Nothobranchius furzeri: one gene and its partners. The protein of the gene in region 1 binds, or shares a complex with, the protein of each later gene. Links are inferred from orthologs where the notes say so. Each region holds a gene or a part of one and is shown in the gene's direction. Other genes may lie near its edges. The genes, in order: MICOS complex subunit MIC26, micos13 and immt.

Region 1 (3,342 bases):
ACTGACTCCAATGCTGATGTTTTATCTGATAACAAAAGCCTGGAGGAGCTTCTGCTGTGTGGTGTAGTTGCTCATGCTAACAGTTAGCTTCTACTAGCCAAGACGTTCTCTGCTGTTTCCTGGGTGTTGAACCAACAACAGCCTTCCCCGTCATAAGACAAGATATGCGAGTGCGTCAATGATAAGTGACCGTGTGACGTAGAGCTGTCAGGATTTTCTAGTCATTTCAACTGTTTTCTATCAGAAGCTAAAGCAGGAGATTGGTGTAGGAGACTATTTTTATGTTCAGCCTGCATGAAAATCTTAGAGTTATAATCAGAAATAAGATTAAAAAAATTTCAGTGTTTCACACCTTTAATCAAATACCTAGACAGGGGAGCTTCAAGACTGAACTGCAGCTGCTCAGTCACCGGAAAATGAAAGTGAACATTTTCAAATGATCTCTTACTATTTTGGTGTTCGCAGATCAAGAAACGTTTCTTTAAGATCTAAAAAGACATCTGTTGCTTTAGTGTCTGGTAGTTTGATTTTCACCTGAATGTGGGAGAAAAGTATTTATGAAGAAACTGAATGTCATAGCCTTTGTGCATTTTGATTTCTTCTGTCAAATAGAAGTTTGATGACATACCTGCATTGCCTCACAGCACATGGACGATGGATTCTTCCTGCTTAATCCTAAGAACAGGTCCTCGGTTCCCACATTCTGCTTCAGGATAATTTCATATCTGCACACAGACATAACAAAACTGCCTTTCTTGTTCTCAAAATGTCCCATCAAATGAAGAAAGGGCCTGCCTTCTTTAAATTCGGTGGTCCAGGAGGTAGACCAGGTTCAACCCCAGCTTTATCCCAGCCACTCTGCCATTGTGTGTTAGAAAAATGCTTCACCCACCCTCCCTATCCAACTATTACTATTGTCTTACTCTGGTTGAGGCCGTGGATCTACCACATCATCATAATGGGCCCCCTCAGCCACCTCTTCTTCACTCCAGATTGCTTTGCAGTTCTTCATGTTGGAACTTGAAGCTAAACAGCAAAACAGGCTGAAATAGTTTGTGTACTGCTATAATTCAGAATAAATGTAGAGAACTACAAGTAAACAACTCACCTTCATCTGTTTTTGGCGGAGGTCCGATGTGTCCAGGGCCAAGCTGTGCACAGGCATCCGCATTCTGGTGAAAATATAATTTCTAGTATTTTAGCTCAAATCTAAATATAAGAATTATGCAGGCAGTTAGTACAGTCGGTATGAATTACTACAAAACGGTTGTGAATTTTAAACTTTTACTTTATAGTTTTCATCTTCCTCCTCCTGTTTGGATAACAGTGCAGACAGAGCCAGTAGGTCCTGCGCAGATGATCCTCCAAGATACGCCATTGGGAAAGCTTAAATCCTTTCAAAAAAACACCTCAAACCACAACATCTACAAATGCAAATGCTTATATAACAAACTTAGTTTAGAACTTCAGCTTATAACCGGCTAAACGGACGTTTGAGAGGTCAGTGTTGACGGTTTCTGGCGACGAGGCTATCCGGTTGCCCTGGCAACCACCAGACACTTCAAGAAACGGGGAGATGGGGATTTCTATATCCTGTATTTGCTATTGTGACTACAGCTGCGTAAAAATGCTATTTAATGTTGGCTATAATTTTCCCAATTGAATAATTTCATTTTATGTATATACCTGATGTTACATTTGAAAGTTTCGCGGTTCGTCAAATTTCTCAAGAAGGCGTCACGTGTAATGCCCCTCCGCAGTTGCCGTAGTGAATGCATGGCCTTGTTCAAGGTGACAGACAGAGAGCCATGCCGGGAGCGCCTCAACTGCCACCTTTCACCGTTTTTGCTGCTGGGGCTGCCGGTGGCGGAGAAAAGGAGACAACGGCGCCGTTGAGCCTGGACGAACTGTCTCTGTACGCGGCTCCTCAGCAGAACCGTCGGTATGCGGAGCCCGAAGCCGGGCAGCTGGAGGAGCGTGTCGCCACCTTCAGGAAGCTAGCAGAGCCATACTCGGCTTGGTGTTCGGGCACCTTCGACAAAATTAAACCCAAAGTTCAGAAGGTCGTCCAGTTCGGGAGTGACGCCTACGCTTGTCTGCAGAAACCTCCGAAGGACTTCTATCCTCGGGCGGGAATCATCGGCTTTGCCGGAATGCTCGGCTTGTTTCTGGCCAGAGGCTCCAGGGTGAAGAAGCTCCTCTACCCGGCGGGTTTCATGGCCGTAAGCGCCTCCCTTTACTACCCAGAGCAGGCGGCAGCCATCGCAAAGTCAACCGGAGACTCCGTCTACGACAGCGCGGTGCGGAGCTACGCTGCGCTAGAGAAGATCCTGAAAAACCCTCAAAGCAAGGATGCAAACGGGGACAAATCTAAACGCAACCCGTAGGCTTATGTTCAGCTGCTCAGCAATACCAGCCTGGTGGTGACAGGACTGGCTTTAGGGCTAGGGTTAGAGTCCCTCTCTGCACTTTGCTGTTACTCAGGCCGGCCATGCCCTGTCACATACTGGACCTGCTACTTGAATAATTAACCTCTGATTGTATATTTAAGTAAAAAATGAATCTGTGGGGCTTTGATTAAAAATCAGGTTTTAACACATTTTTCTGGTTTGCTTTGTGAAGTTTGAGTAGAGACCAAAGAAAACGAAAGCTGTTCTGGTTCTGTAATAGGAACCTGACTTATGATTGTTTTTGATAAGTTAAACTACATCTTGGAAATCCCAAAACCATGAGCTGTAAAACAAGCAACATGTTTTAAATGAATAAATGATCATTCTTTTGAATACTAGTTCCCATTTTGCATGTTTTGTTGTCACAAACTCACCTAAGGCAGTGCCAATGAAAACAAATAAATGACTGGTAACATCTTTATTTCTCTCGGCCAAAATTAAAAAAAAAAATTAAATATGATCTACAGAAATGTCCTCAGAGCAGCACCAGCTTCTCGTTTAGGGCAATCTGTGCTTGGGTCAGGTTGGACAGGTAGGTCACCATCAGCAGGTCCTGCAGCAATGACAGTATTTACATGATTACACCAGAATAAGCAACATATTTACAGTAATGCAAAGGGACAATAGAGGTAAGGCAAATGCAAGGTCTAACTGAAGTCAGTACAGTTGAGGATCTCTTACGTTGATGTTGGAATTAAGCATGTTCTCAAAGTCCTCAGCTGAGATGGTCGGCACCTTGTTGACCAGGTCCATGAGGAAGCGGCCCACGCTGTTATCTGCTGTCACTTTTCCTGACTGAGACAAACCAACCTTAATCTTACAGCCATGATCAGCGTTTTAATCAACACCAACTAAACGTTTTCTACAATGACTTAAAACACTAAATTAATTA
Region 2 (3,341 bases), on another chromosome or scaffold:
TATCCGGGAGGGGCTTGGAGTAGACCCACTGCTCCTCCACATCGAGAGGAGCCAGTTGAGGTGGCTTGGCATCTGGTCAGAATGCCTCCTGGATGCCTCCCTGGTGAGATTTTCCAGTCACGTCCAACTGGGAGGAGATCTAAAGGGAATACCCAGGACACATTGGAAGGACTATGTCTCTTGGCTGGCCAAGGAACACCTTGGGATTCCCCTGGAGCAGCTGGCCCAAGTAGCTGGGAAGAGGGAAGTCTGGGCCTCTCGGCTTAGGCTGGTTCCCCCGCGATCCGACCACGGATAAGCGGTTGAAAATTGATGTATGGATGTATTTGAATCCCATCCACCAGTCTTCCTGGGGCTTAATGTACCCTGTGCACTGTGGGAGGGTTCAAGACTAGATTTTGTAGTCTAAATAATATATTCATTTGGATATACAATAGGTTAGGTAATAGGAGAAATACATTTAGATGTTTAATGTATCCCTCCAGATGGTCAGACAAGAACATATTTGCTTGTCCAAACAGAATTAAACCGTAATTGTCCAAAAAAGTTCCAAACAAGATATTTTAATCCTTATATTGTGTTAAATATTCCTAGTTTCTGTAACCTCACTTTAGGTTAACATTAGGAGAAACTAATTACCTATGTAGAAAATGTTTACAGTTCTTGTGAACACATAACATGCATTAAAAAAGACATTACTGCACTCTGAAGTTGGTTAAAAAATGCCCCCCCCCCCCCCCCCCCAAAAAAAAACCCACACCAAACATTACTGGTTTTAAAATCCACACCAAATGACGTTTTTACAATTATTCTTAAATTTACCTGGATCAAAACTTGGCGCAGTCCATTTGACAGCAAAATAAGCTACAGAAATGCTCCCTATCAGGATTTTTGCAAATGGTCCCATGTGTGTAAACTCGCTATAAGTCTCAGAAAACTTCCTAGCTGTGTTATAAAAGTCTGCCTTCACTTTCATGATGTGAAGGAGGTGCCATTTATGTAACATCCCCCCTCTCTCTCTCACTCACTCACTCACTCTCTCTATTTTGCGCTTCTCCCGAGATCAAATTATAACATATTTAAATATGTAACATTTCTTATAGTAACTTAAAAAGAACATTTATATTTAACCTGCACACCATTTTTATTTTCATTTTGCTTACATACAATTTTACAAAAGGAATAAAGTGGGATAGAAAAGAACGAATCTGCCGCTGAGAAAAAAGCGTTGGGGTTTCAAAAAACAACTTTATTGACAAAAACAGAGCTAACGCTGCAATGTCCTTCAGTGCAGCCCTATGTCGATGGTGCAGCCTAGCGGTGAAGTTAGATTCGCTGTTTGGAGTCTTGGTAAAAACAGCTTATAAAGAGAAGTTACACAGCTGTGGACCATGGCGGCAAGGATTTTGCCTTTACTCAAGTTCGTATATTTTAATTCACTGTTAAGTTTCGTTTAAGTTTTAGTGGTAAGTGACCTGAATGCTTGATTAGCTTGTGAGCTAGCATGCTACGGCATTTATCCGTTTACTGTATTGAGATTTCAAGCTGTTATTTTCCGATACTTTACTAACTAAATTGTCGCCGAGGATCCAATCAAATATTGCTTCATATGCGATTTTTCATGAATGTTTTGTTGAGTTGCTGATATTGCTTGATCAACGCAGAATTTAAGATCTCCCTGCTTTATTACTTAATAAGCAATGTTTTAATTTTAAGGTGGTGCTTTTGAGTGTGGTAAATGTTACGTGGCTGGGTGGTTTTGGCTTACGGTGTGGCTGATCTTTCATTTGCAGACTGGCCACCAAGGTGACCATTGCAGGAGGCGCTGTTTACGTCGCCTGTGACTCGGGTCTGCTGGGAACCAGCGAACAGGGCTCAGAGGCTCTGGAGAAGGCCAGAGCTGCTATACCACCCGCCATCGAGGAATGGATGAAGTATTTTGGTCTGGAGGTAGAGATGAAATTACACTTTTAGGCGATCACACACATTTTGACATGTTTAAACTGTAGAAACTGAATTCCAGCTACAGCCTCTGCACAAGACTTTGTGGGCGATGCATCATATGTGAAATTAAGCCTTATGTTTAATTGTGTACATCATTTTTTTCTTCTTTCCTCTGTTCCTAGGCTCAGGTTCCAGCCATACCTAAAATTGAAATTTCCCCTGTTGAAGCATGGAATTCTGGTAAGAACCTAGTAAGAATAAGAATACCTTTATTAGTCCCTCAGAGGGTTAATTGCAATATTGCAATGGCTCAGGTACAGCAGGACTTTTTCTTTAATAAAGTGAATTTACCAACAAAAACCTTAGAATATTATCCAGTTTCAGTGATCATTTCATTTGGAATCAAGTATTCTTTAACAACAGTTATTTCTTCTATCACAGGGGTGCGGTGGACAATTTCAAGCCTCTCAGAGGCTCCAACTAAAGCATCTGAATACGCAAGTCAGGGAGTGCAGTACGCAAAAGACCTCATCAAATGAACAAGAACTTTCTGAGTAACCTCATTTATCTATTCACTTGACTTTTGCACTTGTAAATCCTTAAGTCGTCCCCTTTCCTGAACAAAACAGCTTATTTAAATTCAGCTGCAAAAGAGATCTCGGCTGTTTTGTTGAGAGTTGTTGGAAGGATACTGTACATAAAGCAGAACTTTGGTTTATTTCAGTTGTCCAGTAGAGTTGGATACCACCCAGATGTCAAACTGTCCAAAATAATGTAAAAAAAAGTTAATTTCTGCTGTGTGTGTGTATGTATGTATGCGTGCAATCTCACTATTTGCAATAAAATCATTCTGAAAACATTCTCAGGCTTGTTTGGTTTATTTAGTTAAACTTAATTTACAGTGTGCTGATTATAGCTGTGTTCAAAGTGAAGAACCAAACTAATGTGCAAAAATGTTTATTACAACAGAATATTATGACATGGGCAGTCAGTCTGCTACAATTTTGGAACAAGGAGCGAAAATGGAAGCATGAAGTATTTTTGACAAAAGCACAACTAGCAATGACGCTCAGTGTTAACCTTTGTTTTGAATGCATGTACAGAATTGTTTCTAGCACATCAAACATTTTCAAAACCTTCAGGCACTGTTAAGGTGATAAAATAACATAAACAAAATGTTTTCTCAAAGATGCAATAAATTAAAAGATTGTGAGGTCAACACACATTTAGCATCAACTGGAAAAAGAGCTTTTTGTAAGACAACTTACTACAAATTTGTTAGCTCATCAGATTGTGAAAATACATTTAGTTCTTAATTATAGGTGTCTTAATGATTTGTTCACAAGAGACTCAGATTTTAGGGAGAAATTTTTCTAAATGAAAATAGTCACAAGCAA
Region 3 (3,652 bases), on another chromosome or scaffold:
AACGCACCGGGAGCCAGTGCAGCTGGGCCAGAACAGGATTAATGTGCTCCCTCCTTCTGGTGTCCGTCAAAAGGCGGGCCGCCGCATTCTGCACCAGCTGTAGGCGCGCAACCGAGGAAGATGTAGATCCATAAAGAAGGGAATTTGCATAATCAAAGCCAGAGATCACAAATGTATGGATCACTGTGTGCCGGTCATGTCTAGTCAGGATGGATTTCATCTTTGGTAGCCGGCGAAACTGGAAAAAGCAGGATCTAACCACCTGGCTAACCTCACTTGATCTGCTACTCGCTAGCGTTAGCTAATCTACCCGTAGTTCCACTTTTAATCCTAGATTTTGGACCGTTTCTGCCTTTGTGTCTTTTCTGGTTTCTGTTTTCCTCCACAGCACCTGTTAGCACGTTGTGCACCAGTAAAAGGCATCTTCTTTACACGATAGCAAGCAACGTACCTTTGTTCAATAAAGTTCTGGGGGGGGGGGGGGGGGGGAGTAGCTTGAAAAGATGTCGCACGAGTGCTACGTGTAAAAATAGTTTAATGCACACAGATTTTTTTTTTCATCGCACCTGCGACATATATGTCCCCCTCGCTCTGATCTGCCTCGGCCTGCTCTGCTGCTGCATACAGATGATCGTTGCCAGCGCATTTGCAGCCGCGGTGTCCATTACTGAACAGAAGCAGCCGGAGCAGTCTTGCTTTTGGGACTCTCGGACTCTGATTTTGTATCGTGCTTTGCTGTGTCTGCCAGCACTGTGTGTGTGTGTGTGTGTGTGTCTGATTCTATCTGCCAATTGGACGCTCCCCCTAATGGCACGCGTGATTTTGAGCTGGCCAATCAACCGGCGGTGGGTTTGTCAGCCTTGTTCGGTTCCAGGCAGACCGCCTTGGGAAGAGGGGTTGTGTGCAGGAATGAGAACAGCCCTAACCCGGTCCAGGCGGGGTGGAGCTGATGCTAGTGTGTAAGGGCCATTAGTGTCTCATCAGGGACTGGGTGGGTCTGTCTTTACATAACTCAGTAAGCGCACACACCAACCCGCTGTGCCTGTAATGTGTGTGTTCATGCAGAAGCGTCAGCAGAGGCGACTCAGATCATCTCGGCCATCAGTGAGGTCCCATCAGTTCCTGCTACGTGTGACTCAGAGGCAGCTGCAGGTACGTTCTCCTCCCCTCTGGAAGCTCTGACCTGGTGCTGGCCTGTAGGCCTTGGGTTGGACCTACTGGTGTCTGAATAAAGTCCAGCCTCCTCCAGGCCCAGGGTTCTACCTAGCAGGGCATAAAGCCTAATCTGGTCTCCACCAGGTTCTAAATGGTTCCATCCCAGTGTAGAAAACCACCTTCAGAGTCACCGGGTGGTCACGTGATGTCCAGGTCGTCTGTGCACAGGAGACCGTGGTTATGGAGACAGGGTGTGCTTCAGCCATGCAGACGTTTGGGTCACATGATGGAGGTGATGGTGGCTCAGGGGTTAGGAGTTTGTCCTGTAACCAGTGGGTTGTCGGTTTGAACCCAGGCTCTGTCCAGGTCATTGTTTGTGGTTTTAGCAGACACGTTCGTCCAAAGCGACTTACAGCTGTGGCTACAGTGTAGATCACCACCATCAGTGTGAGTGTCTGTTTAAAAAACATGAACTAGGTTCATATGATGCTGCTTCGTGTGTGTGTGTGTGTGTGTGTGTGTGTGTGTGTGTGTGTCCTACAGACGAGTGTAAGGAGTGTCACAAACACGCTGATGTTTCAGAGACGGCAGCAGTCGCGTCAGCAGAGCCTCTAAAGGAACGTCCAGTTGATGAGGTCACTGCTAGACTGGTCCAGCAAGACCAGGAGGAAGAGAAGCTTCTGGCCTGTGAGCGGATAACCACACACACACACACACACGCACACACACACATTAATGAAGCTTCCCTGGTTTAGAAGCGTGGTAGTCTGCAGCATCGGGGGTTTATGCTTGAAGCTTTAAGAGGTTTCTGAGCCTGCTGTTGTTTTTGCAGCCCTTTCATCTCGTCTGGAGGACTCTCTAGCCTCCTCTGCTAAGGCCACGCTGCAGGCTATTGGAGCTCAGGAGGTGGCTCTGCAGGCTGTCACCCAGCACACACGCAAGCTGAAGGACGCCATGGAGGCAGAGGTGGGTCAACCTGAGGATACCTGTGGTTCTAGGTGTGTGTGTGTGTGTGTGTGTGTGCGCGCGCACGTATGTGTGTGTGCGCGCGCTCGCAGGATGACAAGTCGGGCTAGAGCAGAGGTGTCCTGTTGTCTTTAAGACAAAAGACAAAATGGTAAAGTTAACCGTGCCCAAGGGCAAAGAAAAATGTGTCTTCCTTCTATTGAAATGATGAAGAGGCAGCAGCTGTCGATCATCAGGAGGTGGACTCCAAACAGAACATGTACGATAACTCCTGAAGTGAGATTTACAAACGGAACAGGACGTTCCATCTGTGACGCCGGGCTCTTCCGCTGGTTGCTCTTCCTGTCCGCGGAGGACGGAGCGGTATGTGCAGCCAGGCGAGTGATGTTCGGAGGAGCTGTCTGATGGGTGAGTTTAGGCTGGGGTCCTCAACTAAACCTGAGTTTTCTCCAGCAGACACCGTGAGGGCAAGACGCTCTTCTAAAATACACTTTAAGTATTATTGTTTGTTGTAATTTATTAATATTTAAAACGGCTTTGTTTCTGGACCAGCTCTGCACCCTTACGGGGTCCAGGAGGGTGCGTGGGAGCTCGCCCGACTAATCTACGAGTTTTGCTGTTAGGTCTGTGTGACCGGTGTCGGAGCTTGCCGGCAGTAAGTCGGGCTCGTTTCCAGTGAGAGTTGGACTCTGTCAGGGCTGCCTTTTGTCACCGATTCTGTTCATAACTGTTATAGATGGGACTTCTAGGTGCAGCCAAGGTGTTGAGGCGATCCGTTTTGGTGGCCTGAGGATCGGGTTTCTGCTTTTGGCAGACGTGGTCCTGTTGGCTTCATCAGAACGTGATCTCCAGCTTTTGCTGAGCGGTTCTTAACTGAGTGTGAAGCAGCTGGGATGACAATCAGCTCCTCTAAATTCGAGACCATGGTCTTGAATCGGAAAAGGGTAGAATGACAGCAGCAGCTCAGGAAGTACAGCGGGTTGTCCAGTAATGGGAAGGTTGCGGGTTCAATCCCGGCTCCGACCAGAGAATGCTGCTGTTGTGTCCTCCTTGGGCAAGACACTTAACCCGCCTTGCCTACTGGTGGTGGTCGGAGGGGTTGGTGGCGCTAGTGCTCGGCAGTCTCGCCTCTGTCAGAGCGCCCCAGGGCAGCTGTGGCTACATTGTAGCTCACCCCCACCAGTGTGTGAATGTGTGTGTGACTGATTGTGTTGTGAAGCGCCTTGGGGGGTTGCAGAAACCTAAGTAGGTGCTATACAAATACAGACAATTTACCATTCTCCGGGTCGGGGATGAGGTCCAGCCCCAAGTGGAGGAGTTTAAGTATCTCAAGTTCACGAATGAGGGCAAACTGGATCAGGAGATCGATAGGTGGGTAGGTGCTGCATCTGCGGTGATGTGGGCATTGTACCGCTCTGTCATGGTGAAGAGAGAGCTGAGTCAGAAGGCAAATTTATCTCTATTTACTGGTCTTTCTACGTTCCTACACTCACCTATGGTCATGAGCTTTGGGTAGTGACCGAAAGAACAA

What was found.
Region 2: MICOS complex subunit MIC26 (region 1) and micos13 share a complex: the UniProt entries of both Homo sapiens proteins name them as parts of the mitochondrial contact site and cristae organizing system (MICOS) complex. The link is inferred for Nothobranchius furzeri from reciprocal best matches to the Homo sapiens genes APOO and MICOS13.
Region 3: MICOS complex subunit MIC26 (region 1) and immt share a complex: the UniProt entries of both Homo sapiens proteins name them as parts of the mitochondrial contact site and cristae organizing system (MICOS) complex. The link is inferred for Nothobranchius furzeri from reciprocal best matches to the Homo sapiens genes APOO and IMMT.

Annotation. Positions count from the first base shown.
Region 1 is NC_091751.1:40,247,741-40,251,082, reverse strand, and holds MICOS complex subunit MIC26, read left to right. Parts: upstream 1-1,574; 5' UTR 1,575-1,772; coding exon 1,773-2,387; 3' UTR 2,388-2,788; downstream 2,789-3,342. Other genes in the region: dnaaf6 (dynein axonemal assembly factor 6), read right to left, coding at 449-534, 629-725, 924-1,026, 1,109-1,172, 1,289-1,378; eif3f (eukaryotic translation initiation factor 3 subunit F), read right to left, coding at 2,926-3,003, 3,132-3,245. UniProt on the Homo sapiens protein: Component of the MICOS complex, a large protein complex of the mitochondrial inner membrane that plays crucial roles in the maintenance of crista junctions, inner membrane architecture, and formation of contact sites to the outer membrane.
Region 2 is NC_091748.1:50,418,290-50,421,630, reverse strand, and holds micos13 (MICOS complex subunit MIC13), read left to right. Parts: upstream 1-1,260; 5' UTR 1,261-1,391; coding exon 1,392-1,420; intron 1,421-1,793; coding exon 1,794-1,950; intron 1,951-2,126; coding exon 2,127-2,184; intron 2,185-2,385; coding exon 2,386-2,483; 3' UTR 2,484-2,803; downstream 2,804-3,341. Other genes in the region: hsd11b1la (hydroxysteroid 11-beta-dehydrogenase 1-like protein), read right to left, coding at 823-976. UniProt on the Homo sapiens protein: Component of the MICOS complex, a large protein complex of the mitochondrial inner membrane that plays crucial roles in the maintenance of crista junctions, inner membrane architecture, and formation of contact sites to the outer membrane.
Region 3 is NC_091741.1:108,913,574-108,917,225, forward strand, and holds part of immt (MICOS complex subunit MIC60), read left to right. Parts: intron 1-1,065; coding exon 1,066-1,152; intron 1,153-1,698; coding exon 1,699-1,842; intron 1,843-1,987; coding exon 1,988-2,121; intron 2,122-3,652. UniProt on the Homo sapiens protein: Component of the MICOS complex, a large protein complex of the mitochondrial inner membrane that plays crucial roles in the maintenance of crista junctions, inner membrane architecture, and formation of contact sites to the outer membrane.